Linked DNA regions of Mytilus edulis. The protein of the gene in region 3 purifies or fractionates together with the protein of the main gene of each other region. This does not show direct contact. Links are inferred from orthologs where the notes say so. Each region holds a gene or a part of one and is shown on either strand. Other genes may lie near its edges. The genes, in order: serine/threonine-protein phosphatase 5-like, activator of 90 kDa heat shock protein ATPase homolog 1-like and heat shock protein HSP 90-alpha-like.

Evidence for each region.
Region 1: the proteins of heat shock protein HSP 90-alpha-like (region 3) and serine/threonine-protein phosphatase 5-like fractionate together in Caenorhabditis elegans (co-fractionation; 3 studies listed by BioGRID). This does not show direct contact. The link is inferred for Mytilus edulis from reciprocal best matches to the Caenorhabditis elegans genes hsp-90 and pph-5.
Region 2: the proteins of heat shock protein HSP 90-alpha-like (region 3) and activator of 90 kDa heat shock protein ATPase homolog 1-like fractionate together in Caenorhabditis elegans (co-fractionation; 3 studies listed by BioGRID, with this or other methods). This does not show direct contact. The link is inferred for Mytilus edulis from reciprocal best matches to the Caenorhabditis elegans genes hsp-90 and ahsa-1.

What each region holds. Positions count from the first base shown.
Region 1 is NC_092346.1:74,709,135-74,720,238, forward strand, and holds the start of serine/threonine-protein phosphatase 5-like, read left to right. Parts: upstream 1-5,877; 5' UTR 5,878-5,913; coding exon 5,914-6,046; intron 6,047-11,104.
Region 2 is NC_092346.1:44,561,579-44,572,134, forward strand, and holds the start of activator of 90 kDa heat shock protein ATPase homolog 1-like, read right to left. Parts: upstream 3,948-10,556; 5' UTR 3,814-3,947; coding exon 3,734-3,813; intron 1-3,733. Other genes in the region: probable ATP-dependent RNA helicase DDX52, read left to right, coding at 4,080-4,166, 5,297-5,420, 6,203-6,393, 6,814-6,999, 7,569-7,712, 8,244-8,346, 9,087-9,159, 9,552-9,621 and 1 more.
Region 3 is NC_092346.1:2,378,499-2,389,227, forward strand, and holds the start of heat shock protein HSP 90-alpha-like, read right to left. Parts: upstream 4,140-10,729; 5' UTR 4,003-4,139; intron 1-4,002. UniProt on the Caenorhabditis elegans protein: Molecular chaperone that promotes the maturation, structural maintenance and proper regulation of specific target proteins involved for instance in cell cycle control and signal transduction. Undergoes a functional cycle that is linked to its ATPase activity.

The DNA.
Region 1 (11,104 bases), about 72 Mb from region 3:
TATAAACATAATCTGGCGGATTTGTTTAAGCACATTGACCATAGTGAGTATGCTTAAATTTGTTTCAGGATATTGACCATAGTGACTAGGTTATACGATTGTTTGATTGTTTAACTTCACTTTGAGGACACCCAGCTACATAAGTGGTAGAGAGTGGGAAAGCTGGTGATCCTGGATATAGAACCATCAACCTCTCATCAGGAAAACTAGTGCAGTTGACAAAAAGACTGAATATTTAAAAGCTTTTTATCGATTAGAAAATAGACAGGTAACCAATGGATTCAACATAAAATGTGAAGACGAAGTGAAACTTCTCGGTGTAACAATAGACTTTAAACTGGATTTCAACACTCACATCTCAAATATTTGCAAAAAAGCTGCACGACAACTAAACGTTCTAAAAAGAATTGGCACTCATCTCACCAGACTTTCAAAACTTACAATATACCACTCATTTATCATGTCAAACCTCAGCTACTGTCCTCTTACATGGCACTTCTGCAGTGAACAAAACACAAAGAAAATAGAAAAAATACAAGAAAGAGCACTCAGATTTATTTATGACGATTACACAAATTCTTACAATACACTTCTTGAACAATCTAAGCTACCAGCACTAAAAATCAGAAGATTGAGAACCATGGCATTAGAGACATATAAAATAATAAATAAATCAAGTCCAGAATTCCTACATAATTTAGTAAATATCAAAGAAAATTCATATAACTTCAGGTACAAAGGCATAGCAGATATACCACGGCCAAAAACAACAAGGTATGGTAAGAAAAGCTTTAGTTATGAGACAGCAAAACTCTGGAACTCCTTGCCAGATGGCCAGTTCAAAAATTTTATCTCCACCTGGTGTTTTTCAGAAAAATGTACATGCAGTTCTTGTAAATAATGTACTTACTTGCTGCCCCATAACTTGATCTCGAAGCCTGCTGTTTGTTTGCTTTTTTTTTTTATGTTTTATCTTTTTGCAGTTATTTTTATTTTTTATTTAACCATTTATTTCTTTTGCTTATGCATTACCTTTGCTATAGCTGCATGCAGTCTTTTGTTTGTGCTTAAAGTGTTTAAGTTTGCATGTGCTATTCTTATATAAATACTATGTGCTACTATATATGTGCTGATATTAGACATTTGTTTTAATATATCTTGCTTAGCTTTTATTCTGCATGTGCTATCTGTGTATTAATATATATATGTGATGTCTGTATGTTTGTGTTGTATGTGTATCTGATGTTATTACATGTATGTTTTGTTCAGTCGGTTAAAGAGCTCTTAAGAGCTCATGTTCTTTGTTATTATGTATATATGAAACCCCGACTTTAAATAAAGATTACTTTACTTTACTTTACTTTGTACCGAAGGTACGGATGGTTCTCTCTGGGCACACTAGCTCCTGTCGTGTTGCTCGTGTTAATGTAAGGTGATACTCTTAATCGGTAATAAGAGGACAGGTGTGTGGTTAACATAAGAATATATCCGACTTCATCTGTGAAACATATATTCCATAACGGTCAATCAATTCGTGATGGTGTCCATAACATTGACGAAAGGATGACCTCAACTTTGCCACTTTAAGCCCTCATCTTGTTAGCAGGAACATTCACCAGGAAAACCATAAAAAGAAAACCCAAGCTCTAGAATATCGCAGTCGTATCAACAAGGAGACATTTCATATGCGGGCACTGCTGGCATGTCGCTACATAGAAAAATGGAAAGCTCACAATGAGAGTCGGTTGATAACAACACTTTTCAACAAAAAAGATGATTGATATCAGCTTTCCCAGTCTATGAGGCAGACTTGACTCTGCTGCATCCTTAATCCAAAGTTCGAGGCGAAATCTTCTGTACCTAGTCAATAAACATTAAAGTACCATTTATATAGCGAAACGTGAAGTATGAAGTCTGCATAAACTACAATAAGGAATCAAATTGACCAAAAGAGGAGAACAGTGGGTTTCCATGGGAATTTCGATTGATTGTTGAAAAACGCCCAAACGTAACACATGTGTTGTCCAACAATTAATCAAGCTTTGATAATGTCAATTTTAGACAATTCTTTTGGAAGTAGGATTTATCTCTTTCTTAAACAAGTAAGTATGCTGGCCATCTTATTTTATGAAACAACACTTATTTTAATCGGTTAGTAAGTTTGTAAGGTGTAAAATAAGTTTAAAGGGTAGCAAAGTTCAATGTTTTATTTATACTATTGCAAAAGGAAGAGATGTTCATGGTATGTACTTCAACGGATCTTAGGAATATTATTTTTTTATAGAATCGACATCTGATGCCCAAGAGAGTAGGGATTTTATAGAAACTCTGCAGCCCGGTTTGCATTTAAAACTAATGTTAATAGCTTGGAAAGAGATTTCGTTGTAGATCCAGCATAATACCGTTATTAAACAGGACAATTTTGAAAGGTGTGGCATCCAATACAATGAAAAATTACCATAGATAGTTGAAACTCCAAAGTAAAATAAAATATACCTTTCATTATCCAGGATTTCCTCTTGGATAAATTTCTTTGATGGTACATATTAAGTTCCAACTGAATTATCAATACGTGATATTTTATCAGTTTATTAAGCAAAATATGTGATGTGATTTACACTCAAACTCGATATTGTTTTGGGCTTTTTCTAAGGGGAAAATTAAATATGTGTCACTATACAATTACGTATACTAACTTGTACCTGTTGTTAATGGTAATGTGTATCGCAATTACCTCGCAGCCTTCATCCATATTGAAAGAGCATCTAGTACGCCTGTTCTGTAACGACTCATTGAAATGTCAGCAGGCCAAAGGAAATAGAGTGACAGATATCATATATTTTCTTTATTATTAAGATTTATGACCCCTTTTGTAGCTATGTGTATTACAGAAATAACATCAAAACAGCAAAGATAAAGAATAATAGAAATATAACATTTATTACATATGCCAAAAGGAAACTCTGTTCAGTTATTTCATTAAGAGGGGCACTAGCTACGAGATATTTAAAAAAAATCAAAATAAAATTTAATGAAAGTGAAATAATATTTCTCTTTTAGCAGTCATAAGGTTCAATTTCGTCAAAATAAGCTTTCAAAACTCGATCATGAATTACATGTATCACTTACAAGGGAATAATCACACCTCATTAAAGAAATCATTAAATCTGTATTCATGTGACCTTAAATTTTTTGAAACTCCTTAGCTAGAGAACCTAGAAAAATCCAATTGCACGATTTTCCTTTATATATATATCTATATTTATGGCCAACGGAGATCTTCGAAGATCAACTCGATAGTTAATTAGACTGCTTCTAGATTAAAATACACACGAAACGAAACTACATATTCTCGAGCCAATGATTGAGATGGCCCAACGCCGTGCAGCACGCTTTATCAAGAGCAATTACTCAAGAGAGCCTGGAACAGTAACAACTCTTCTAGAAGAACTAAATCTAACACCACTAGAAATAAGAAGAAAAATAGCACCTATAACGCTCTTTCATAAAGCCATCCATTAAAGAGTTGCTATACCTATTCCAACGCACATTATAAAACCAAGAAGAACGTCGAGACTCCATCAACCAAACACTAAAAGATACGTACAAATCAGGCCAAACAAAGATATCTACAAATACAGCTTTTTCCCTAGGACCATCAGAGACTGGAATAAACTACCAGATGAACTATTAGAGATCGAGAGCAGTGAGGAATTCAAGACCAAACTCACCAAGCTCCTCTGTAGTGGATAGCAACACAGTCAATCGATACTAGTAGAAAATGTTTTTAGCACAATTTTGGAACCATTGGTTGTAAATATAGAAAGTTTATTGTCATGTTGAAGGACGTCAAAAGTTAAACTATACTTGAGTGATGGGTCGAAGTACCCTTTTCGAGTGACGACATAGAAGCTATGTCGTAGATGTAGATGTAGAATGCCCTGTAAATTGTTTATTTTAGACTTTTTGTAATTTGAATAAATGTTTTACATTGTTAAGAATAAATATGAGAATTTGAGTCAATTCTTTGAACATGAATTTGAAAGTTAGTGCCCCTTTAAACAAACCTAGAAAAATCCGATTGCACAAGTTCGCCGCTATCATTTATATCTATATTTATGTTCATATCGCTTATATGACCATCGGCAGTCTACGGAGGTAAACTTGATAGTTAATAAGATGGCGCCTTGGCTCAAATGCACACAAAACGATGATTCATATTATCGAGCCCATGCCTTTTAAATTGTTTTTTTAAAGACTTTTTTTGGCAAATTAAACTAAGGTTTTTGCAGAAATTCCACAGACTTTAATACATAGATTTTCGTTAGAAATAGAAAACATCAACTGCTCACTTGTTTGTCCATGATGTTTTAACGTTTATTTTTTTTTTTTAAGTCCTAAACAACCTTTATCATTCCACAAAACCTGGTGCTGTGTCATAAAAGTCAAGCGAACCCTAGAATGTGGTCCATATTTACATTTGTTTAACCCAATATCTTTATTTATAAATATGTTTTAAGGAAATCATTGCTAGCACTGCATGCTATCCTCTCAATATCAAGTATCAAAGGAGTAGGTTCAGTAAGACCCCTTTTTGGCCTCAAAATATAGCAGTTTTAGAAAATTGTGAAAATGTAATCGTTTAGATATTTATTTCAAAGTAGAATGCTTCTGCTACATAAATATGGGCTATTTTTGACAAAACAATGCACATATATCGGGTACTAGCATCATTAAGTCATGCTAAATTACTGAAATCTTCACAATTGTAGCATTTTAGTTAAATTTTAGACGGTTTCCGTCTGATATGAAAGTGGCCGCATTCGTGTTCATTCATAATATTGAAATGCAAGTTGTATTTGATGATAATACATAATATATATAAAGGTTGAGGATGAACACGGATGCGGCCACTTTCATTTTTGACTAAAATCATCTGAAAAGTGACGATTTTTGGCATATTTGATAGATTTTTCATATTTAAGCTTGAATCGGGGCGTTTTAAATGACTTATAAAGTTAAAACCTTCCCCATTAACTAATTGAATCAATTGAAAAAGACACTTTAAGTGTTTAGAAAGTGTCTAAAATCTTTCGTTAGATGAACTTGAAAATTGAGGCCGAAATCGGCCCTTACAGGACCTACTCCTTTTCAAATAATAGGGAAAGGCTGTGGATTTTAGATAAAATCTCTACCTGTTTAGCATTGAAAAACAAAAGGGCACATAACCTAAATCTGAAAGTGAAAAAAAATAAAAAAATACACGACCATTAAATTGATTGGTTAGTTTTTGAGGCCCCTCAATTGGGGGGTCTAGGTAGTCACATTTATATCGCAAATTTTTTGCCAATATAGTCACATAATCATTAATTATTTTTTTAAACAAAATAATCAAATAATTAAAAATACAGTCCTATTTTATCAAATAATCATGAAATATTTTGTCTGATAATTAAATTATCACTATAAAAAGGCAATGAAATCACAAAATAACAATAAAAAAACAACGAGGAGACTCGTTTTTAATACCGCTTTAAGCACTAATGTGCTAATTCGTGCTTTATATAAGTTGAGTAAGCAAGAGTGCCCTGAAAGAACCATTGATCTTCGGTAGGAAAACTGACAATCCGGGCTTTTTTGTCAGTTTATAGGATTGTGGATTCGGGCGCACCTGCCACGTGCGGATCGACTAGTAGAAGTGCACAATAATAGTTGATTGCAATATCAATCCACCGAATTTGTTTATCAAAAGGTTAAGAATTATGATGAGATAATCTAATGTATTTGTTGTTGATATAATCCGTGTAGTACTTTGCAGGAAGATTTTTTCATTTTCCGAGACCAAGAAAATTGTAAGCCTGCCCTCCATACAAAGTTTTGTAATGAGTTCTTTCCCTTTGATGTAACTCTTTCATGTTACTAAGCATGGATGCTGAAAATGTGGAAGAGAAGGAAAAAGAAGAGGAAATACTGAACAAACAATCACCAGAAGAACTTCAAGCAGAAGCAGAAAAGCTGAAAAATGCGGCAAACGAGTTTTTCAAAAGTAAAACAATATTCACAGTTATCCTTACGTATTCTTTGTCAGTTCTGTTTGTGCAAAAGATCAGATCACGAGTCAAAGCGAAATGAATCCCCAGTACTTTGGGATCTGTCACATCACGCTATTCTAAACAATACTAGTGTAAAATTATATTCCAGTAATGTAGCAGTATTTCTATATTTCGTATTTTACTGCTCTGGTATTATATAATGATCACCAGGTAGGTCAAAAATGAAGACTAAATTAAGGATGGTGGCAAGTAATTTTGATTTTCTTGTAAGTCTTCATTTAATGATTATTTAAAAGATGAATCTATTTATCAGACTTTTCTAATACTACACACAAACTTTACAAGTCTACACATCTAACTTATATAGGCTCAATTAGGCTTAAAATTATTATCTCCCTTGGCAAATATTTCAGTGATTTTTGGGGAAAGACGGCTTCAAGCCGTCAATCCCCTATGGGATTGACCAGAGTGACACTCCCTCACATCATTCATTTTGATTTTATACATGTTATAGTGTGGAAAACCCCCCAACAAATCTTACTTAGATTGAAGAGAAGGAGACCCAGAAATGAATAGTTTGACTTTAAACACTTTTTTACACATTTCCCTTCTGTTTCTCACAAAATTATCGTATCTTGAACTCTCCTTTACACTATTAACGCTTATTCTACAATCCGGAAAATAGTATGACGAGATATTCTAAATATATCCAACCTACATTGCATTTTATAGTGACGTCATTCTTGGAAGGTATCCGGTCGTTCCGGCCCCAAACCGATCCGGCCCCAAGTCAATCCGGCCCAAAGTCGATCCGGCCCAAGTCGATCCGGCCCACGTCGATCCGTCCCCAAGTCGATCCGGCCCCATAATAAAATATGAATAAAGTATATTCACTTGGAGGAATTTGTGACAAATTTGAACAGTATAAACGGAATTAGCGAAAAGTGTCGATGATGGATGACAACAGGTAGTAAGTGAAGTATTGGAGTATACTAGTTAAAGAACTATTTTTAATCGATACGAAACTGAGTGTTATTGTGTCTCTTTTTATAGCAGCTCTGAGGGGGGATAGGACCTTTATCTGGACTCCGGATTGGGTGTTTTTAAGCTCAGGATTTCGGGATTGACCCTTTCGGGATCTGGGAATTCTTTTTTTCGAATTTCGGGACCTCGGGATTTCGTGTTTTTAAGCCCGTGATTTCGGGATCAGGACCCCTCCTACACCCCCTCCCCCTCAGCTCTAACATATTTTAAAAAGTGAAGATATTTTCCATGTTTTACTCATCATAATGTCTTGTGTAACCAAATCATTAGTCTAGAATTGGTTTGTTTATTCAACAATTGTCTGATGATTGTGAACTAAGGTGATGTCACTCGTAATCACTTAATTCAATCAAATCCTGATTAATTAAAGTTACGTAATCAACAAGTTCTTTATAGTTTGATCTTTTGTTTGGTGTATATAATAATAATTAATTGTATTTATATAATCAGCAAATCAAACAACATTTCTCAATTTGAGAATTTTTAAGAACTTTAAAGAAAAACAATATTTGTGGTTATGTATCAGCTTGGGAATTGGCTTGTATCGTTGTGTATGTAACTATTTGTTATTACACAAGATGAAAGACTTGTTAGGATCACAGTCAATTGAAAGAAAATGCTAAATACTGCTGATTAATGTTGATGTTTGAATTCTTTATATACGTTTTAATATAATTATACCCAATAATCTTGAAAAGTTGTACTAAAAACATAATCAACCTAGTTGTTTTATACTCACATTATAATAAAAATCATAAACATTTATGAATTACAATTAATATATATCTTTATTTTTATTCCTTATAAATTTTTTTTTTATTGGGGCCGGATCGACTTTACATATGGGCCGGATCGACGTGGGGCCGGATCGACGTGGGCCGGATTGACTTGGGCCGGATCGACGTGGGGCCGGATCGACCCGAAAGCTTCTTGGAAGAAGCAGGGATATCCTTCACCAGTTCACTGGTTTAATATTTCAATCATTCTTAGAGATCGTGCACTAATTACAAATTTGTATTTGTTAAATCTAAACATAATATTGTTTACTGTAGATGATTTAAACATCAACATACAATACTTTAATTTGTAGGTCAACAACTTTCAAAATCAACAAAGATCGTGGGGTTACATGAGACAGGGGAAAGAAATGATTTTATTACTTTTTTCGAGTCCTACTAATCAGAGACAAGAAGCGTCAAAAAGCGACAAGAAGCGTCAAGAAGACTATTTAGCGACAAGAAAAAAATATTCTTCTTGTCGCTTCTTGTCGCTAAAATTCTTCTTGTCGCTAATTAGTCAGACCACTTTTTCTGTAAAAATTCTGAGAATCTTCCTCCAATTCAGGAGCACCTCAATTGATGAGTAATTATCCACTAAAATAAAAGTTAATGTATTTAAACACTTCAAATGTAACATTTCATTGGATTAGTAGTCTTCTATTAAAACTAAATTTTTGTGTACCTACATAATCATTGTAATGGTAAAAAAAAAAATAATAAAAATTTGCATTTTGTAGTTTAAACATATTTATTATTTACAAATATTTCAAAATTAAGATTTGGAAACAAGCTTCACACAGTTTACATCTCTCATATTGTTTGTTTTTATTAGTACCTGATTCCCTGTGATGAGAGTTATAACTCCGAACTTCATAAAATTCATTGGAAATTTAAAACTGAATAGATTTTTCAGTCCACACTTTCTAAAGAAAAAACCTAAAAATCCAAGAGAACTGTCACAAAAAATGGAAAATCGCCCGAGCCTGCAGTTCAGTAGTACACAATCAAGATTTCAGAAAATATTGTAGTTGTTGTGAAATGACAGAATTCAGTTGAGTTTTATAATTAGCTATCAACTTTAATCAAATGTTTAGATTTAGAAGATGCAGATCTCTTTCATTGGTCCAAATTGAATCCTAAACTAAGGAAATGAAATTACATAAACAACAATTGATTTCAATATTGTCAACCTTTCTACATGTTCTAGCTGTTCTCTTTTTCATTCTTCATATGAAAACTATCAAAAGATACCCCCCTCCCTTTCCAAAAACATAATTAAATAGAAACAAGGGCTGTCTTTCCCCTCAGAGCTATTCAGCTCTTTGATTGTATTTCTTGCTTATACATCATTTAGAAGCACAAGTTGAAACTTTGCAAACTTATCATGGAAGAGATGCAGATATAACTATGCATCTTTTTTTCAATCTGTAAGTAGTTTGAAAAAATAATCCCATCTGATTCCCTGACACAAATGCCTGATTCCATCCAAATTTTGGTAAAAAACGGGACCATTAATATTGTATTAATGGACTTGAAATATGAGTATGTGTAAATATTTTTGCCCCACAAGAATAAATGTGAATGACTTTTTTGTGGGATTTTCTCTGTTTAAACATTGGTCTACTGTATTTCTAACTCTTACATGTCTTAGTATTGCCACATGGTATTAATGAAAACATTGACCTTGAAGAGGAATGATTGCAGTATGAGTGGTAAAGGGGAAATTTACAATATCTTATTTTGATAGTTTCATTATCTAGTATTTCTTGTGTTCATAAATTTATAGAATTTTCATTGTACTTTTCTTTGCAAATTATTCAGTGCTTTTAATTATGTAAGGTGCATTTTACAGTTGTTGTTATAAATTACCTTTAAATGGTTGAAAAGTGGATATCTCATAGGGTAGCATACATGTAGTATACTTTGTTTTTAATTTTCCTTATAAAAGCATCGAAAAATATGTGTTTTTTTGTAAAAATTTTTTTTTTTTTTTTACCTCTTCAAAGAATGGAGGATTTTTCTTCATCTTAAACACATCTTTTTTGTACCCAAATATACAAAGTCATGTACATGTAACATACACTGAAACTGTTATATTAAAATTGATTAATTGGTGCATGGTGATTGCTTTACACTGCATCAGCACAAAAAGACTGTTTCACGGCTATAGATGAAACTCAAATAAACATAAATTAAAATGTTTTATTGCATTTTATGAGTTTGGACCAGGTAATAAACAAATTGTGCACATTGTCTCTCGTGATAATTGTGACCCAATTATTGATTAAATACATGTACATATCAATTATTGATTAAATACATGTACATATCAATTATTGATTAAATACATGTACATATCAATTATTGATTAAATACATATCAATATTGCTCTGTCAGACTAGAATAGACCATCCTTCAAGTCTATTATTTACAGTACAGATTGTACAATCATCATAATACATCTTTTCTAAAAAAATCTAGTTCATGCATAGTAACTTATCTTTGAGACAAAATTTTCAGAATAACTGTATGTAGTGTAGATCGAAAGTTACAAACAAATAAGTACATGTAGCTCCTGGCCAGTATGGTATAAGGTTTTAACCCATTTGTTGGTCAGTCTGTCATGTCTGTGCATCAGTCCTGTTCTTGTTATTAAAACTCAACTGAAATTTAAACCACACAACAGAATTTCATGAAACTTAGCAGTTGAAAGGGACATATTATGTAGATGTGCATATGGACAGGAAATTATGATTCTATTTATCTAGGAGTTGTGCCTCTTTGAACTTAAAATTTTGGCCTTGATATTCTGATGCATCAATTTGTTGACCCTCTGAAACCACACAATAGAATTTCATGAAACTTTGTAGAAAATAAGGACATAATACATGTATGTCACAAGAAATTATTGTCAGTTGACTTAGTTAGAGTTATGAGTCTTTGAACTTGGGAATCTAGTGAGATTTTTTTTGTCACTGTTAATGAGAAGACGTGGGGTATGTGAGTGCTCACAAATATTCTTTTATTCATATATGTGTATATTATACACATGTATGAATAAAAGAACACTAAATCTATTGAGAGGCATACTTAAATTGCGATAAAAGTTTTTAAAAATTTGCTCAGAAGTATCCAACTGTTTCTTTAATATGCCTGAGAAGTTTCAGACTGTTATTCCACATATTAGTGCAGAAATGAAATTTCTTGTGGGCATGTTAAAGTTTTTTT
Region 2 (10,556 bases), about 42 Mb from region 3:
ACATACACAGTTAGATTTGGCATATCAAAGAACCCATTTATTCAATTTTTGATGAAATCAAACAAAGTTTAATTTTGTACCCCCATTTGGACCAATTTGAAAACTAGGCCAATAATTAAAAATCTAAGTACTAGATATATAGATCGATATTGATTGCAGGTACATGTACATTTGTACAAGGATAGATAATATTTATAAAGGTTGATGTTAATAATTTATAGTGGGAGTTTTTTTCTCATTTGCTTTTCCCCGACAAATGAGACTGTAAAAATTGGGGCCCCCTTAGTTGCTTCCCTGGGCAACTGAGGGTTGATGTAACAGGTGATTGTTAATAAAATATGTTTAATATTAAAAAAAAAAACAAAAAAAAAAAACAAAAAAAAAAAATAAAAAAAATCTAAGTACATTTTTAAATTCAGCATATCAAAGAACCCCAAGGATTCAATTTTTGTTAAAATCAAACTAAGTTTAATTTTGGACCCTTTGGACCTTAATGTAGACCAATTTGAAAACGGGACCAAAAATTAAGAATCTACATACATAGTTAGATTCGGCATATCAAAGAACCCCAATTATAATGCTTATTTGGGCCCTTTTTTTGGCCCTTAATTCCTAAACTGTTGGAACCAAAACTCCCAAAATCAATCCCAACCTTCCTTTTGTGGTCATAAACCTTGTGTCAAAATTTCATAGATTTCTATTCACTTAAACTCAAGTTATAGTGCGAAAACCAAGAAAATGCTTATTTGGGCCCTTTTTGGCCCCTAATTCCTAAAATATTGGGACCAAAACTCCCAAAATCAATCCCAACCTTCCTTTTGTGGTCATAAACCTTGTGTTAAAATTTCATTGATTTCTATTCACTTTCACTAAAGTTAGAGTGCGAAAACTAAAAGTATTCGGACGACGACGACGACGTGATAGCAATATACGACCAAAAAATTAAAATTTTTGCGGTCGTATAAAAATACGAATAAAACACTTATTTTGTATTTTCATTATAGTCCGATCAGGTCATAATTTTTGTTTTTTTCAACAAAGACGATTTTACCACAATTAGAACCTTTAATGACCTACTCAGTGAGCAATATTCGGTTCATTAATAGTTCAATATTATAAAATTAATATCAACTGGCTTAAAACAAAATGATGTTTTTACGGTAATTTGTCCAATCTAAATTAAACCCAAGAGTTAATTTATCGAATCAACAAGTGAACTCTGTTACTTTCAATTTATTTTGAAATGTAAAATATTATGTTTCACTACCTCGGTAGAATAAAATTTCCGACTTGAAATATTTGAATTTTAAAAAGAAACTGTAAAGTGACAAATAGTTTTGTATGCAATGTGGCAGCCCTATATTCATAAATACTGAGAAGACACAACACAATAATCACAACCTTATTTAATTATATGGAGAAAAGAAATCCTGTGTTTTTAATCTGTTATTGATCTTTAATTATTTAAAATAAAATTGGATTGGCGCAATCCGTATTTTACTGCTCGTTAAAACTCTTCGGCGAAATATAAAAAGAAGAAGTTCAACAATTTATACAATAGAATATTAAAATGAAATTATATCGTGTTCTACAAGAAAGAAATATGTAAAAAAAAAATTAGATCGGATTTTAACGATCGCCAAATTTTCACAGAGGTCTCTACCAACGCCCATCATGAACATGCATCCTGTTTTCGTATATCATTAATATATAGTGTTGACTATAGACGTATAAATAATGTCCGGTTTTATGTCCTCTGTTGACTGAGAAATGTAAAAATAAAAGGCTGATGTTGGTTTATTCAGAAAAGGAATATAATTTAGAATCCGGTTAATCAATTGTAAAAGGACCTTCTAGAGCCTCAATCTTAACGCACACAAATTTATGTCAATCATTACAAAGCAAGTTTAAACCTTGAATGAATTTTCCCACGGTTATCCAGAAAGGTCACCTGAGTTAACTGTTACATGATACTATTTCCCGCCAAATAAAAATCTCGTGGACAAAATTGATGTCACTATTTTTAGCATTCAATATTGTGAGCGAAGTCAAGTTCAAGTTCAACCACGCACTGTTGATCACTGAGTTGCGTATCGTCTTCCCACGGCAATTTATTGGTTTAGAAATATTTAAAGATTACTGTTCTAAATACAACACAAAAGTTTACATTCATTGTGCGTAAATGAATATTATGCAACGACGAGTTGATGCAGCTATAGAAGTATTCCTGTTGTAGCCGAAATGTATTATTTATCCTAAAGTAAATGCTAACAAATCGTGAAGAGAAAATGCTGTAGACTTATTAAGCATAGCGAATTGTGAATAATATTTTCTTTTTTTCTTGCATATACAAGTTTAAAGACACGTAATTTTCTTTCTTTCTTACATTTTATAACTTCAGCGTTAATTTTCGTCTATTTTCACGAAAGTATGTCTATTTTCGCATATTATATAAATTACCGATAAAAAGAACAAGAGATCATAATCAAGTATAGATTTGTTTCTATAAAACTTTACTGCAATTGAAAGCATTAACAACAATCTTTTGCTTTTTAAAACTTTCATTTTGTAATCGTAAAATGGAAATGGAAACTTATTAGCATAACAGATAGTGAATAATATTTTCTTTTTTACTTGTATAAAAAACTTTGAGACGTGTAATTTTTTTTTAAACTGTTCTTATTTATTCAACGTTAGTCTCCGTTTATTGTTACACAATTATATCTCTTTTAGTAAATTAAATATTTATTTATTGATAAAAAACGGAAGTCAAAATCAAATATAGTTTTTTTTAAACTTGATTTAAATGTACAGTGTAATTGAAAGAATTAACAACAACGTTTTGACTTTTATTTTAATCTTTCATTTGTTTCAAGCAATCAGATATAACCTGATAATCAATAGACAGGAAATACAATTGTTTAATTACATTAGAAATCTCGCATACCTTGACTGTCGAGTGCCGGCATAGATCAGAAGGATTAGGGCAATTAATTACCTGGTGTGACACCGCGTCACTCCAGACTGGGAGAGATGTCGCTAATACAATAAACAAAAGGTAACGGATTTACGCGGAAGTCGGAGGGAATACTCCCAAATTTCTCTGACAATTTAGGGAGTGATGTCGGAGTTTCCTGGTGTCACACCAGCAAAAAACTCGGTGTTTGGAGTTTGGGATGGCTTTCGCGAAAATTGAACTGTACTTAATCACAATTCCCTAATGATAGCTGTGCAGATTGTCAATTATGAGAATTTAATTTGCCGAATAATTTGTGCAATGTAGCTTTAGTTTTTCAACCACTCGCTCAACATTGAAATGGAAGTAACGACGCACATCAACGCACAAATGAGGTTCACTAAAACCAAAGTTTTCGACGGAACTCAAATGCATCGAACTCAAAAGTTGTCCATTGGCGCACATACTTCCCGATCACTGAAGGACAATTAAAAAATGACTGATTTTGCCTAATCATGTTAATAGTTTTACAAAAATAACAGTAACAATGATTAATTTAGAACTCTGACAAATCGGGATAAGGATATTTTAACGAATCTTGGTAAACATTTTAAACAATTTGACAGTGATGGAAAATGATTTGTAGATGCATGACAGTAAAGGGTAATGCCTACTCTGACATATGTAGCTCTTTTTTGTTATTTCGTTTTCAACTCATAAAAGTTTAGTTTCACAAACTAAGATCAATGCCAATGGCCAATGCCTAAACATTCATACCAATGCCAGTTGTTCACATTTGTTCCGTCTGGACGTTCTTCGACTATCCACCGTGGGTCTCCTTCTCCCCATTTAGCCATATTATCAAAATTATGAGTTTAAAGGGAATTTCAAGAAGTTAGGCCTGTGCACGTTATATGATAACTTGTTTCTGGAATAAACAACGGAAGTAGATATAAAGCGCTACGTATGGGGAGAAATTTCGAGAAGAACTGGTTTACGGTCAATGAGATAACATAGCAAAATTTATACTGGTAAATAAATTGAAGGGAGACAATTTTAGGAAAACTAGCCTCTTATACCACAAAATAATTTTTGTTTACTTCCGATTTCTAAAACAGCAAGCATGGAGGGACTGCAGCTGTTCAGAAAGCTTGGAGTTGGTGCTAAATTTGATTTGAAAAGATTTGGAAAGGATGCAGAGAAACTAAAGGCATGTCATATGGACGATTTAAAAAAAAAAACCTTTTACTGTAGTTTTAAACATATATATTTATTGTTAGTGGATTGGAAACAAGTTTTGCAACTTATATTAATCCCTTTCCATGTCTTTGTGTGTGGGAGTGCTGCCTTGTAGCTGCATTAACCTGCTCTTTTTTCGAAATCTACAAGGGTGTCTTTAACGTGCAAGAGATACAGCTCTCTCTTAACACGTGTCAGCCATTTATCGTCCCCTTCCGACAGACAATCATCGTTTCCTCAAGACCATACTTGCAAATGGTGTCAAGGGAGAGCCGAAAATTCAATCCCTGAAACTTTCAACGCAGAAAGGGGAATCGAAACCAGGAACCTTTGTGTTAGTGGTCCGATGCACTAACCACTACACCACGGCTCTCACTAAAAAAAACTTACATCAGATTACTGAAAAGAAACCCTGAATGGCCTGATTCAGTCTACAATTTCTACCATGACTTTGAACAGACTCTGAGCGAACGGACTCAATACTCATTTGAATCAAAAATCAATTCCCATTAATTAATAAAAATTATTTTTTATTTAGAACGGGTTCATGGTCTAGTGATTATGACCAATGGCTTCAGTACTGAAGGTCCCCATGGTTGGATTCTGACTCGGGTGCTAGAAATTTTCAGTACACTTCTCTGAGTTTAAACTAGAATGTGTACTTTAGGGGGCCTCATTTGGTCAAAGTTATCCCCTTCTTTGACCTGGAGATCAATCATCTGATATATCTCCAGTTTTTCTCTTTCAGCCGAGTGACCCAGGAGTTCTTCCAAGTACATAATAGACTTCCTGGTGTCCTAGCACTCAATTTGTGTAAGGATGGGGATTGCCCTGTAAAAAATGTTGTTTATACAGAAGTGATGCATCTCCATTAGTTATGATAAGGAGTGGAGTGTACATGGATTTTAAGTTTACCCTCACAGTGCTGGAGGGGTTAGTGGTGTTTCTTGCAAGAATGTCAATATGCACAATAAGAGTGTATCATGTGCTCTTGCTGCAACTGTTTATTTAAAATGCAGTGATTATTTATCTCTCATTTGTCAGTAGAAGATGTGGTTCAGATTAAAATATGTAACAATATTTCCATTATTCTACTTCCAGATTATTTCTAAGGATTTAAGCTTCCAAAATACAACATTAGAGAATGCAGACAGAAAAAAAACAAATGAGCTGAAAAGGAAAAATGTTCATGAAAATAGTACAGCTCTATTGAAAAAGGTTAAAGGTACATATTAGTTCCATTTATTATATGCATACATTAAAAAAAATCTTAAGATTTAAAACTATTTATGTAAACAATTACGTTTTTATGAATAAAAAAATTCTTGATCCTAAAAAAATATTCTGAGATACATATACATCATTCATCATTCATATACATGTTGAATATATGTACTGCAGAGAGCACAAGTGTCAGTATTAAATAAACTATTATATTATAAAGCATTTGTTTGAATTTGCCTGCTTTTTAAGTCTGTAACCTTGGTGAGAAAGATGTTCATGTTTAAATGTAATATTTTGGCTTTTATATTAAACTACCCCCTTATATAACCTTGACACTGTACAGAAATACAGTCTTATTGGACTATGACAAAAAGGCTAATGTCTAGAGGGGCTAAGAGGTGTTGATTTTCCTGTGTGAAATGTATAAACAAGCAGTCATGTGAAGTGAAATTTTGATTAATAGTTTATATGAGTTCTGCCAGCCTTGGTAACTAGAAGACACATTTATCATACATTAATGCAAAAATTATTATCTTGCTGGTATGAATAAATCCTCATGAACCATTTGTTTAAAATGTATTTAATTTGACTGTCAGTCTACGTGAAAATAATGTTTTATTTTTGAGTTTTCATTTGTCATGCTTGTACAGTAAAGTTTAAAACCAAACCATTCCAAAGTCAGGGATGCATAAATACATAGAAATGTTCTTCATTTGCATCAAAATAGAAATTTAGAATTTACTGTGCTATTGAATTTTCATAATATCTTATATTTATTTACAGTAGATTCTGAATCTGAATCTAATTCTGAATCCGATTCCTCCTCCTCTGAAGATGACAGTACATCAGAGCCAGAGCCTGAAACAGAGCTACAGATACTTGGGACAATCACATCTAAAGGGGCAGAACAAAGAAGGGAGAAGAAAAAGAAAGTCAAAACAAAGGAAAAGTTAGCAGCACTGCATCAAGAGGAGGTAAGCCATACCTGTATTCTCTTATACCTGATATTATTTGTAGAAAAATTATATTTGAATGAAGGAGTAAATTGATCACATTTTAGACAATATAATTCCCATAGATTCCATTTTCAAAGGAACATAGCTTATTGTTTTTCATCTAAAAGGCTTGACTTGTTTAAATAATATTTAGACAGTCCCTGACATCTTCTGTAGATAAAACTGAAAGGAGATAACTGGTTAAGTCTTCAACAAACATTGTCTTGCGTTGCGTAACAGTAGACAATAGAAATTTTAAATTAGCTACAGAATAATAGCCAATCACAGGTCAGCACTATCATGAGAAGCTGAAATTTTAATCTGAACTTTAAACCTTTTCAAATTAGATAACCTTAATTAATATAATACATTGTAGTCTAAAATTGCACTGATTTTCAGGTTAACAGAATACGAAATCAACATAAAATACATATTTATGGAACTGATAAGCCAGAACCATTGAAGAGTTTTGATGATCTTGTAACCAACTACAAAATGTCAGATGTCATCCTGAGAAATATTGCTAAAATAGGGTACACAGAACCTACACCAATACAGAGGCAGACTATACCAGCCATGCTGCATGTAAGCTTACTTATATAATATATATAAACTTGCTGTTCGGTGCACACGAGTCAAGGCTGTTGAATGCCGACCTTTAATGGTTTACTTTTTACAATTCTGATTTGGATGGAGAGATGCCTCATTGGCACTCATACCACATCTTCTTATATAGATATATGAGCAATTAATAGTTTTTCAAAATAATGAATTAAATAGGAAGAATGATACAAGTATGTGTGACAGACATATGTAAAAAAAAATAAAAAAAAATCATTATTTGTGTTGCATCAAAAGTACTGTCATATATGTACATTCAAAAAGAATTATTGTAATTAAATGTTGCCATATTGTAAAGTAGCCTATTTATTTTTTATAACTGTATGTTGACCTGTTGGTTATTTATGTCTTTGGGTTGCTGTAATTCTTGCTGTTAGGTTTTTGTGCATTGATTGGTACTCTTCGAGTTCTAGTTCAGGTTTCAACTCTCCTCCTTCAAATCCATTGTTATTGGACATGACATGGCATAAAATATAAAGATAGCATATGTATTTACAGTAAACGGTTTATACAATTTATTTTTTGCTTTACAGAGAAGAGAGATTATGGCATGTGCTCCGACAGGATCTGGTAAAACGGCAGCATTTATCTTACCAATAATACACCATCTAGGAAAACATAGCAAACATGGGTTCAGAGCTTTAGTGCTTGCACCAACCAGGGAATTAGCCAAACAAGTAAATAGACTCAAATTATTTTAATCATTACTTCTTTATAAGTTTTTGGATGCTAATGCCTTTAAAAATATTTGTTATGTTTTTTTCATTCTGAAGAGTCAAGTTTAGACAAAACCTTTCTTTTTTGTGTTTTGTGGAGCTACAACAGTAGCTAGTAACATTTCAACTTTTATTCCTGAAATTAAACTTTCTTTAAACTCTCGATGAAAGTAATGATCAATATCCTACCTGATGACATCACAAAATTAAAAACAAATTTATTGCAGATCATTAGAAAAGACAGATAAAGTTTGTCAAAAAATCATTAGAGAAACAGATCCCATCCCTGAATTTCATGCAATACAATATTCTCTAATCCTGAAAGTTAAATTCGGAATGTTTGAAGTTTTTAACTGTCTTGAGTGGAGCATTATTGTATCTCACTAATTACAGTCACTGTGAGTGTTTAGATCTATATATATATACACACACAAAGTTATCAGTGGTGTTATATCTGTCATACTAATAATGGTGCATGTTGTTTTTTTACAGATTTACAGAGACTTTCAAATGATATCAGATGGAACTGGTCTAAAGTTACATTATATAGATAAGACTGTCCCAGAAAATGAAGGGAAGTCAGTAAAGAAATTTGGTATGTGACTTTATTGTATTGAATGACTACTGCTCAATTAAAGATTCATATTTTTGTCGAGCTGGTACCATTTTGTTGCTGAAGATGATACACAGGGATCTTTTGTGTTTGGTTTTGTCAACATTCAGGTTTAGTCTGTGGTTTAAGTTTTTTTAAACATCAATACCTTTGTCAACTCTTCATGTTTGAAACTATGAAAAAAGCTTTTGTACGATCAGATGACAGTGCTAACAAGAGTCATAACATCAAATATGAAACAAAATGATTTATCTCCCTTGATCAAACATATCACAAATATTTATTATAGGCTGTTAATAATTAAATCAGATTTAGATTTTTATGCCCCATTTATGGGCATTAGGTTCTCTATCCTGTGCATCCGTCTGTTTGTTCAATTGTCTGTCCATCCATCTGTTCTGCTTCAGGTTAAAGTTTTTCAGTCAAGGTAGTTTTTGATGAAGTTGAAGTCCAATTAACTTAAAACTAAGTACACATGTTCCCTATGATATGATCCTTCTAATTGTAATGCCAAATAAGAAATTTTATCACATTTTCACGGTCCACTGAACATAGAAAATGATAGTGCGGATGGGGCATCTGTGTACTTGGGACACATTCTTGTTTGTTGATAATTTTGTCTTTCTACAGATTGTTAATATATTTCATGTCTTTGGTATATTGTTGACTTTTTCGGGACACAACAATAGTTTTGTTATAAATAGCAAACTTATATTTTGCAGATATTCTTGTGTCAACACCTAACAGACTGATATATCAGTTAAATCAAGATCCACCTCAGATAGATTTACACACGTAAGTATTAAAACAGATTTATTATTTATATTTACAATTGATAGAAAAAACAGAATGCTATGTCATGAAAGCTTTACTCATATATTGTCATGGTAAATATTTATAGATTGTGGTTGGTTATCTCAACGAGATTGATTTTCTCATTGAGCCGTTACGGCTGTGCTGAGAAAGGAAATTATCAGTCAGTAAGGTCAAAGGAAAATTTCGTAAAATAGCGATAATAGTAATTAGCAAGAGAAATTCAACATCATGGACAGAAATGCACATTTAGATATTTTGTTTATGGTACCACAAGTTTTTATAAAAATTTGATATCCAGATACTATAATGATCAGAATAAAAATGTACTAGAAGATTTGATATTAAAATTCTCTTTGTATTTTGTTTGACAGGGTAGAATGGTTGATTGTTGATGAATCTGACAAGCTTTTTGAAGAAGGAAAATCAGGCTTCAGGGATCAGGTAAAGTTTTATTAAGGATGTACTTAGGTGAGGTTTTGGAATTTGTATCAAATGTTCGGACTCCTTGGTGTTTTTCCATACAATACAATGTAAAATATTTTGCCCCATAACACCCATTCATTTTTTCATATAAGACTTAATAGCTCATTTATCAAAATTTTAGAAGATTCTTGATTTTCTTTCTTTTGTTTTGAGACCCAAATAATACCAATGCAATATAAGGTAAAAGCCTGAGTCAGCCTTTTCCTGCCATATTTTAAATCTCAAATATCTCGAAAAGGAGGTCTATGACCTATCATTATTTTTAGCTTATCTTTATCCTTAATTGATGCTCTACCAGCTTATAGTATCAATTTTAATTTCTTAATTTTTACCTAACCTCACCTAAGTACATCCTTAAGTTATTCAGGACGACAAATGAATGAAAGGTACTAGCGAGCAACTTTATCCTTCTATTGAACAAAGGGCAAGATAACAAATATTTTAAAGAATGTATTCAGTAACTTAAAAACTGAACTGTAACAAACCTGTTTAAATATTTTATTCTGACAATAACAATCTGCCTTAGAGGTCTTGACATAAAAAATGAATTTTACGGCAAATGTGACAACAATGCATAAAAGAAGTGAAGTGAAGTTTAAATCAGAGATAATATTCAAATATAATCTACGGTAGTTATCTTGATTGTAATATACTATGACATTTTCATTTCAGCATTTGATTCTTGTTTAAAATTAAAATTAAAAACAACACTATCAAATCAATGATTTTATTTGCAGCTTGCCGTAATTTACAAGGCATGTGATTCTAAGAATGTTAGAAGAGCAATGTTTAGTGCCACTTTTGCTTATGATGTTGAACAATGGTGTAAACTAAATCTAGACAATGTCATCCAGGTGAATGTGGGTGCAAGGTATGTGCTTTATTTTTGAATA
Region 3 (10,729 bases):
GACCTGGGCCTTTTTCTGCATGACCGGAGCGGGTCCCTTCTTAGGTAGCACTCCACAGTTAGAAAATAAAATTAAAAATGAGCCACAAAATGTTTTATCATCTCCTATTCCTGGATTTCTAATACTTTAACCTAACTGTTTGTGTTGTACATGTGCATATGTATGTAATCAGTATATTCCATAGATTTGATTTTCAAAAGTTAAAAGAGTGAAAATAAATTCCTTTTATGTGTATCCATGGCAACATTCTGCATTTATTTACCATAAAATATTGCAAAAAGGGGGGTGGACATGTCACATATCCCCCCAAAATTTGGATCAAACTAGAATTTCAATGCCTTTGAGTAATACCTTTTTAGAAACTGTTTTCATAAATCTTCCTAATGATCAAATAAAAAATGGGTGTCTTTCGCCTCATTTTTTCGTAAAATCCAATCACAAAGTTCGTGCGATAAAAAGTTGGAAAAAAACATTACAATAATTGCCGGACCAATGTATGGTAGGGACATGCAAATACGGACTGTCATACAAAAAACAGCCTATATTACATACATTACATACTCTTGATGTTCATATAAACCCAATACAAAGGCTATTTTAATACTCAGCTATCCAAAAATGAATTTTATTGCACACTAGCTCTCATATTTGAAAAATCCACAGGGGACAAAATGCGAAACTACACACCTAACTGTGGAGTGCTACCCTAGGCAGTCAGTTGGCCCTCACTTATAAAAATTTCTGGATCCGCCACTGTGATATGAACATGTATGACACAAACTGTTAGGTTCATGTAGTAGAAAGCTAGGAATAGATGATTTTAATTTTATTTTCTTACTGTGGAGTACTGAGCTAATGTGTTTCCCTCGGTTTTATTTTGTAAACCGGATTTGTTTTGATTTGATTTATGACTTTTGGGCAGCAGTATACTACTTTTGCCCCTATCTATAACATACGATTTCATTTGTTTTATATTACCTTTGAAGCTTTTATTTTGCTTGTGATGATAATAAAGCAATATGATTGATTACTGGGTGTTTCAATAAATCACGGCTTCATAGAGCCATGCATACCAAGATGTTGTGTGTGGTGTTTTTTTTAAACGATTGTGTGATGATACGCATCTTTGAGAAGAGAAAATCTGAAATCAAAATTGTCCTAGCGACACCAGTGAATCAAAAAAGATTTTGTTTTATGTCATCATATACTGATTGGAAATGCCTAGCTAGCCCGGATGAAATTTTAAATTTGTGGATTTATTATGAACATATTAAACAATTAAATTAAATCAAAATTAATGTGAAGTCGTTCACATTTTGAATTGGTTGTATGGTCACATAACTGGTACTTATGCTATGATAAAGTGATATCAAATACTTATCGTGACAATTTATAACAAGCCGTCAAAGACTTTTTATGAAGTGTAGTCTGAGCAAATGAAAATGACCCTGATGCACCAAGGTGCAAACCAAGATGTTTACACTCAACCAAATTGTTTTCATAAGACAATTTTTCACAAATGTGTCTACCTGCTTTGTTGAATATCCGAACCTTTGGGTTTTTTATATTTATTTTTTAATGTGTATTTTCCAGGATGTTAAGTCTTGTTTGCAGTCTATTAATTAACAGATGTTGATCAAAGGACCAATTAATTAAGTCGTCTAGCTGCATACAATAGCAATTCACTGGTTTATCGTTTAAAAGTATAGCAGGGTCTTCATGCACTTTCTTGTAAATACTCCGGTAATTCATCTATGAATAAGTTAAACTTTAAACGACTGCAAACCGCGCGAACGATAACTAGTAAAGGCAAGTATGGACACTACATTCAAGCTTAAAACATCTCTAAATATGATCAAATATATGTTCCTCCTGAACATGCATGAAATATTTTCCACTGGACGTTACGCAATGAATACTGATCAAATATCAGGCAATCAATCTCTGAATTTAGATCGTGATTAAATATTTGACACAGCATATGTTTCTTGCACAGCAAATGATGTGGTAAAAAAAACCTGAAAAATTTGAAATTGGACCTTTATTTTTGTTATTATGGTCCCAGGGGGGCGGATCCAGCCATTTAAAAAGGGGGTTCCCAACACAGGACAAAAAGGGGGTCCAACTATATGTTCCCATTCAAATGCATTGATCGTCCAAAAAAGGGGGTTCCACTTGAACCCCCAGAACCCCCCCCCCCCCCCCCCGGGATCCGCCACTGGGTCCAATGTCCAAAATTGGTACTTGGTTATAGATCGATTCATTATATGGTTTAATTTAAGATTTAAATTATTTAATTAGCAAAACAGTGAAATTTATATTTTACACCTCAGTAATCACACTGGTTCAAACTAGATTTTCATTAGTATAAACTCTTGCATTAAATTTACTCACTATATTATTTCGCTCTTTTTATTGGATATAAACTTTTCCTTATTTGTTAATTGTTTATTTATACTATTGCAAAGTGTTTTCTTTACATTTTTGAATTTGATATTACGTTGAAATGACCCACCCTTCCTCCCTTGTTAAATTTTCAGCTTATTGTTTTATAAAACATAAATTATGTGTACCTGTCACGTATAGACAATTTCAGACAATATTGAGACAGTTAATTACTGAGATTGGTTTAGATGCTTGTTCATATTCTACACATAGTTTTAGGCGAGGGGGGGGGGGGGGGCTAGCTGGGCTTTTGCAGCCGAAGTACCTACTGAATTAATTCAATTGTACGGAGATAGGAAAAGCGATGCTTATAAAAGATATTTAAAATTTTCATTAGATGATAAGATTTCAGTAGCAGAAAAGATGACGGCACATATTTCAGATGTTTTATTATAAATTTTTACAGGGAATTTCTTTGAAAAAAGGGCGACCATTGTGTCAGCGTCCATACCTAAATATGTTAGTGGAATAGATGGGTGTACAACTCAGGCCTTTCCTGGTGCCACTATTGGTCGTCTTACTGAGTTAATTTCATCTGGGAAAGTAGATTTAATTTCATTAGATTTCGTTATAGTTCATGTTGGTACTAATAATATTTCTTCGTCTCAATCCGTAGATACTATTATATCATATTTCGAAGATTTAATTCACAAGTTAAAAAAGATGACATTTGCTAAGTTGATCTTTACTTCTATTCTTCCTAGACCAGTTGATCACATGAAAACTGGAGCTAAAGTTAATAAAGTTAATACTGAGTTAAAAAGATTGTGTAAAAGAAATAATTTATTATATTGTAATTTGTATAGGAGTTTCTTACTCGACAATATTCCAGATGCTTCCTTATTTGCTCCGAGAGATGGGCTTCATTTGAATTTTGCTGGTACAGAACTTTTCAGAAAAAAGATAATCAATAGTATTAAGCATCAGAGTATATAAATTGTAATGTGTTACAATTGTGTTTTTTATTTACTTCATACATGTATATTGTTTACTGTAATTATTCTTTTTTCTCTTTTCAGAGAACTTGCATCCTGAATATGATGCTGGTTTTCCTCTAACTACTCAAGATCTACATATATTTTGAGTTGGTTTGCTGTTTTGTCCTTTCATTATCTATACACATTTTGAAAGGATGGAGCTTATTTGAAGTGAGAAAAAGAGTGATGATAGTATGTCTGGTTTTTATCATCATTATAACTGTTTTGATAGTTATTATTTTATCTTTAATTTTTTTTGGCGGCCTTGCAGGCTTGGCGGATGTTTGCCAAAAAATTTGGTTATATATCTATGTTTATGTATTTTCATTTGTGTATTTAATTATTTATGATATATTGTATTTTGTAATATATTGAAAAAATATTTATATCAGGCAATACAAATTATACCTATTGACTTCCTTTTATTTCACCCACTTGATAATTACAAGTACATACAAAATTTTATTCATTTCATTTTTTTATTGAAGGACACAGTCAGAATCAGATAATATACAACAAAAAAACAACTTTCAAAAAATCATTGAAACATTGAATATGTTTAGAAACTCTATAAACATACCTTTATTTCAGTATTCCTGACGCTACTATTTCTACAATGATCTTTATTCACAAATACAACTGCGCTTTTTTATATATAGTCTATATATACGATTCGAGAATCAAAAGAACATTCTAAATCTAGAAAAATCTATAAATAACGAGAACATTTCTATTTTAGTAACAAGGTGAATTCCACTTTTCTGAAACATAAATATAAACAATGACTTTCACTAGTCTATCCATCTCATCTAGGATATTCTAGCACGATTCATTCACGTTACAGTTTAGGTTAAATAGACAATGTCAGATAAAAGTCAATTAATATCTTCATAAGTGTGTACTGCTCTTTATGTCTTTTATGGACCCTATATGGTATTTGGAGGGAAAACAATCTATAGTCTGTACTATTAGCAACACTGACGAGGCCAACGAAAGTCTTTCATGTATGTTTCCAATTGTTATTTTATCTTCTTCATTGTACTTTAGGCCACGCTTCTTTGTTGTCTCTTTTTTAAAGCATTGTCATATATTATCTCAGTATCCTTTTCCGTAATCTGTTTCTGTCAAGTCGATCCTCATTAAGGGAAAGACCGTTTAATTTAAAAAAAAAAAAAAGAAAAAAAAAGGGGGGGATGGGTTATGGTTGTTTTCAAAACAAAAATTGATCCCCAATTTGATGACAAAAATATATTGTGTGACAGATATAAAATATTCTTGAACAAAAAAATCGAACTTACCATGCAATAAACCTTCTTTAGCATATTCTGAACACGGTTTAATGTTTTTGTAGATAACTTACAATTTACCAGATCTTATTTGACCATCTCGGCTACTACTAACTGACATATACACCCAATTTTTCAACTTTGAAAGGTTGCTCTTTATCAGCACAATGTCCCCAACCTTACCTGTAGCAAGTGTTGCACTTAATTATTCCACTCCTAAGCTTAGTTTGTTGACAGTCCTTTTATGTAATTGTAGAACAAGAAGATACTCATCTCTCTATGCATATTAATTAAGATGTTTCTGTCCTTTATTCTTTGTCAATAACAATTGTTGAGCACTACTGATTTGATGTAAACATTCTGGATCTGGGAAACCATCTTCGTTATTACTTGGAAAGCCTGTTTTGGGGTTTAGAGTTGAAAATGTGCTGGTGTAAGAGTTATATATGAAATCATGTTATCCCCAACTTATATATACAGGTAACTGTTTCCGATTGAACATTCGGCTAAAAAGTAAAATCACAAAAATACTGAATTCCGAGGAAAATTGAAAATTGAAAAGTTCCAAAGTAAAAGTTCCTAATCAAATGGCATTATCAAAAGCTCAAACACATCAAAAGGAATGGATATTTGTCATATTTCCTGACTTGGTACACAAATTTTCTTACGTAGATAATGGTGGATTAAACCTGGCATTGATAATCCAAAATGTTGTGCCAAATACGGCTAAGGCAATCTATGCCTGGGATAAGAAAATCCTTAGTTTTTCGAAAATGTCAAAGTTTTGTAAACAGGAAATTTATAAAAATGACCACATTATTGATATTCATGTCAACACCGATGTGTTGACTACTTTGCTGGTGATACTCTCGGGGACGAAACGTCCACCAGCAGTGGCATCGACCCAGTGGTGTAAATAGTTATCAAATTAAGGTACCAGGGCTAAACCTCTCACGTGTATGACAGTCGCATCTAGTTCCATTATATTGACAGCGAGGTGTGAACAAAACAAAAACATATTAAAATAAAATTGATAAAAATGAAAAAAGTTCTAAGTTGGTTCTAAGAGTTCTACGTTGGTCATTTGTAAGACATAATTTTTCAATTGTTTTCTGTAAACATTGTTCATAAAAATCAAAGAAAAAGACATACAGATAGATAATTGTACACAAGACACAACATAGAAAACAAAAGACTAAGCAACACGAATCCCAAATAACTGGGGATGCCGAATCTCAGGTGCTCCGGAAGGGTAAGCAGATCCTGCTCCTAATGTGGAACCCGTCGTGTTGCTCATGTTATTACAAACCCGGTAAATAGTCTAATTCGCTAGGTCACATTCGTGAAAAGGGCAGGGGGTTGTAGTTACGACATAATGAACATATCCGATATCATCTGTGAAACCCTTATTCCATAATGGCCAACCAACTCGTGATGACGTCTGTAAAATTTATCAAATCAATTGGAAGATATATACCCGTATGCAGGCACTGCTGTAATGTTGCTACATATATATAGATATGGAATGTATACAATTGTGAATCTGGAATCATCTCTACTTAAGTTTTGTTTCAACTGATCCTCATTGTAAATTTCTAGATGTAAGTCAAGATATGAGGCAGACTTAACTATCTGTTGTATCCTTTATCTCTAGTTCGATGGGATAGATGCATTCATCTTAGCAAGGAGGTTATATTATAATATAACCTCCTTGATCATAGTCACCAGATTTAGAATTATTTAATGAGAGAACATCATCTATTTAGCGGAAAGTAAAGTTATAGGATATTGATTACTTCTTATCTTTCTTGATCTTTCTTCCTAAGAAGTTCCCGTATGAAGTCGGCCTCATAATAATAAATAAAGGAACAAGTCGGCACGAAGAGGGGTATTATTGGTTCCCATTGGAATTATAATGAAGGTAAAATGAGGTAAAATATTTAAAGAAATAAATTTTAATATTTCATATAAAACTAAGTGAATCTTCTTTGTAATTGTAGAAAATAACTAATTCTTGTATAAAGCTTTTCGTATAAAAAGATATAATTAGAAAGTCTATAATGTTATGTAACTTTTAATATATATAAAAATGTGAAATTAGGTTTGACAGCTTAAACTCTTAGAAGTATTTCCTTTAGCAAATATGTCTAATTCTTTTCTAATGTTCACTTAGAATTCTATCTAACAAAATAATCCGATTTCCGTAATGGTCGTAAAAACAAAGTATTAAGTAATTAAAAATAGTAACCCCAATTTATGCAAAAATGCAAATTAGATAGAAAGATATCTAACCAATAGATGTCCTTATAAAAATAAGTATTCTAAAAGTCATTTTGATTGGTGAATAAAACAAGTCCAACCAGCACGTGTTCTTGGGGTTTAAAATAGGAAACCCTAAGGAATCAAACATTAATTTACTCGTATGGTTGGACTCGAAATAAACATATATTGACATCTTTGTTTTATTCACCAGGTTCGTAAACTCACAAATTTTGTTTAATGAAAAACATAACGTAACCTTAATAATCGTTTAATGTAATAATTTTATGACAGAAATCCTAAGTATTATTAAAGTTACCATAAATATAATGATAAGCTATTTTAATTAATCAATAAAATATTTTGATAAATGTTAATTCAAGTACATTTTAAGAACCAAACTCTCTTATTTCATATTGATGTATTTGATTAATTTACTCCTATGGTTGGACTCGAAATAAACATATATTGACATCTTTGTTTTATTCACCAGGAAGCCTCGAAAGAACGTGAACGATAGTTCCCCAAGTCGTCGTACTTAAAATATTGAAAAGAAACATGTAAAACAGAAACCAACAACAACTTAAACCCTTCAACGGGAAAGGGGAAGCAACCGCCTTAGTCTGCGCTTTCCCCCTCTTTCCCGCACAACAGAATGCCAACGGTCTAATGAAAACACATCCTCCAAACGTAAGACAAATATGTTGTCAATCAAGAAATCAAGCATCCTGATAATGTCAGTTGCAGAGAATTTTTTGTTTGAATCAGAGTGATTCTTTATAAAATAGGTTGTATCCCCTCCCTAAGACAAGATACTTGTATCTACGTTAGACATTCTTTTTTATGAAACAAATCAATACCAATAAAATGGGGAATGTGTCAAAGAGACAACAACCCGACCATAGAAAAAAACAACAGCAGAAGGTCACCAACAGGTCTTCAATGTAGCGAGAAATTCCCGCACCCGGAGGGTGCAAAAATGCGGCGGGGTTAAACATGTTTATGAGATCTCAACCCTCCCCCTATACCTCTAGCTAATGTAGAAAAGTAAACGCATAACAATACGCACATTTAAAATTCAGTTCAAGAGAAGTCCGAGTCTGATGTCAGAAGATGTAACCAAAGAAAATAAACAAAATGTAATAATACATAAATAACAACAGACTACTACCAGTTAACTGAATGCCAGCTTCAGCCTTCAATTAAACTGATTGAAAGATTATGATTTCATCATATGAATATCAGGCACAATCCTTCCAGTTAGGGATTTAGTATCATACCATCATAACATATAGGAGAAGAACATAACCCGTGTCATGCCATCAACTGATTTTTGAATAAATGTGTTTAGTTCCGATGCAAAGACCCTATAAGTGAATCAAAATTAACGCCAAAATATGCAATCTTTAAAGACCTGACAACAGTATCGTAATTATATCCCTTCTTAATAAGTCTATTTGAAGGTTTTTGTTAGTTTCTGAGGTGAATACTGACATTTTTGTGCTTTATAAAGAATATTTCCATAAAAAAATGGGTGTGAAATACCTGAACTCTTTCAATATTTCTTTTAGTTTGGAATGGGGAATACTTGTGTAAAGTGTAGAAAAGTCAAATGTTTTAATACTATTGCAAGATGAAAGAGTCTTAGATTGTATGTACTCTAAAAGATTTTTTTGAGTATCCATGCACATCTAATTCACGCCACCTCTATGAAAGGCATTTTTGATTGCTGATAAAACAAATGTTAATAATTTAGAATGATACAAAATGATAATATAAACGTCTAGGAAAGTAAACTATAGAAAAGGTTTTTTTTTTGTTATTCAGGACCCATGTGTTCAGTTTGCTCCTACGATACTGTTCGAAATTTATGAGGACGAAGATTTAGGACACATTAATGAGACAGGCCTGTCTAAGTATAAGATAAAATAAGAATTTTATTAATCTAATAAGAACGCATAAAGGGCCTCATTTTACAACACTATTATGACAATATGATTGGAAAAAGCAAAACAGAAAAATAATACCATACTATAACGATATGGACAGGATCAGAGCCTGACACAACATGTGTCTTATATAACTATCATCTTAAATCTTATAACAATACAAAATTATTTCATATATTTTGTTTACATCTGGATCTTATTTATAAACCTTTAATAATGTAATTTCCTAGGCACATGAGAGTTGGTAAATGTTCATTTGTGAACAGCCAGAAATATTTCTTATCCTTAGGTAGTTCTTTAAAATTAGTACAAAAAGTGTTAACTTTATCAGATAATAAATTCCTCTGTTCGTTATATAAAGGACAATTTACTGTAAAATGGGTCTCATCTTCAAGAGTTTGATCCATGTGATAAGCAGTGATGCCATAGACGTTGAGTTCTCTATATGTATTTTTTTACTATATCTATCTTTCTCAATTCTAAGCGGATCATCAGCACTTATTCTCATTTTACATATAGCTCTTCTTATATTAAAATCGTTAATTGATAAATAAGTCTCCTTTACAAAGTCAGTATTGAGGTTGAAATAATTTTCTAATTTACTATTACCTTGTGATAAGGTTTCAGATCTTTTGACCAACCAAAATGTTTTAAAATTGTTACAAAGTTTACATTTTACAAATTTAATTAATTTATTGATCTTTGTATTTAAATTTTGTATATCAAGTGATTGAAGTACATATTTCATATATGAATACCAACAATTAATGTTTTCTGCACATTATGAGTGAAGTCTGCATACTCAACTTCAATACACTGATAGTTCCAACGTATTCGGTATTCAAAAGCTTGCAGCTGATATACTCCTACTCAGACTTCGTTAAACGTCACCTGATTCTGAGCAGAAAGTTGATGAACCAGGTATGTCAACGAACGTCTCGTCCTTTTTTCTAAAATAGTTCATTGGAAAGGAGTAAGGGAGCTACCATTTGATTTTTATGGGGGGGGGGGGGGGGGGGGGGGGGCTAGGATGAAAAATTGTGTCCTGCCTTTTTTTTTATTTGTAATCTCTGTCCTGCCTTTTTATTTTTCAGTCTATTCTGCCTTTTTTTTCCTTAGCTTATCCTGACTTTTTTTTGCCAAGTTACTCATCCTGCCTTTTTTTTTTTTTAACTCAAAATCCTGTCCTGCCTTTTTTTCAAATTTCATCCTAGCCCCCCCATAAAAATCAAATGGTAGCTCCTTGTTGATAATTTTTCTGTTTCAAATTCACAATTAATACACATTCAGTCCTGTCAATCTAGCATAAATTTGACCCTAACCTTGAAGAAATTGCAACAGAAGATTTTCAATCTGAAATTAAAACTGCTGATTTTGAGTTTTCCTCAAGTTAGATTTTATGGGACTTTTTTCTGTGTATATTTAATGCCATAGATAAGAACTAAAACATTTCTTCTTGCAATTAGGTTCAAACTTAGATTGAATGGACTAATAATTGTCTTTCACGTATAGATTCAGGGTACTGGCGTTTTTTATCATCTTAATACCGTGTAGTAATCTTTTATTTGTTTATTTATGAATTTAACTTACCTTAACTTTTACTGTTGTCAGTTTTCGGTGAAATCCATTTGACTTGACTCTTTACTTATACATCCTCTTATTGTGCAATCCTGTTATGGTATATTTTTATATTATTTTCTTTCATTTTTACTTATGTGCTTTGTCTGTATACATTTTTGTGTTACTTTGGTACATATGATGTGGTTCTGTACTTATACATCCCCTCATTATGTTATTGTGCTATGGAAAATTT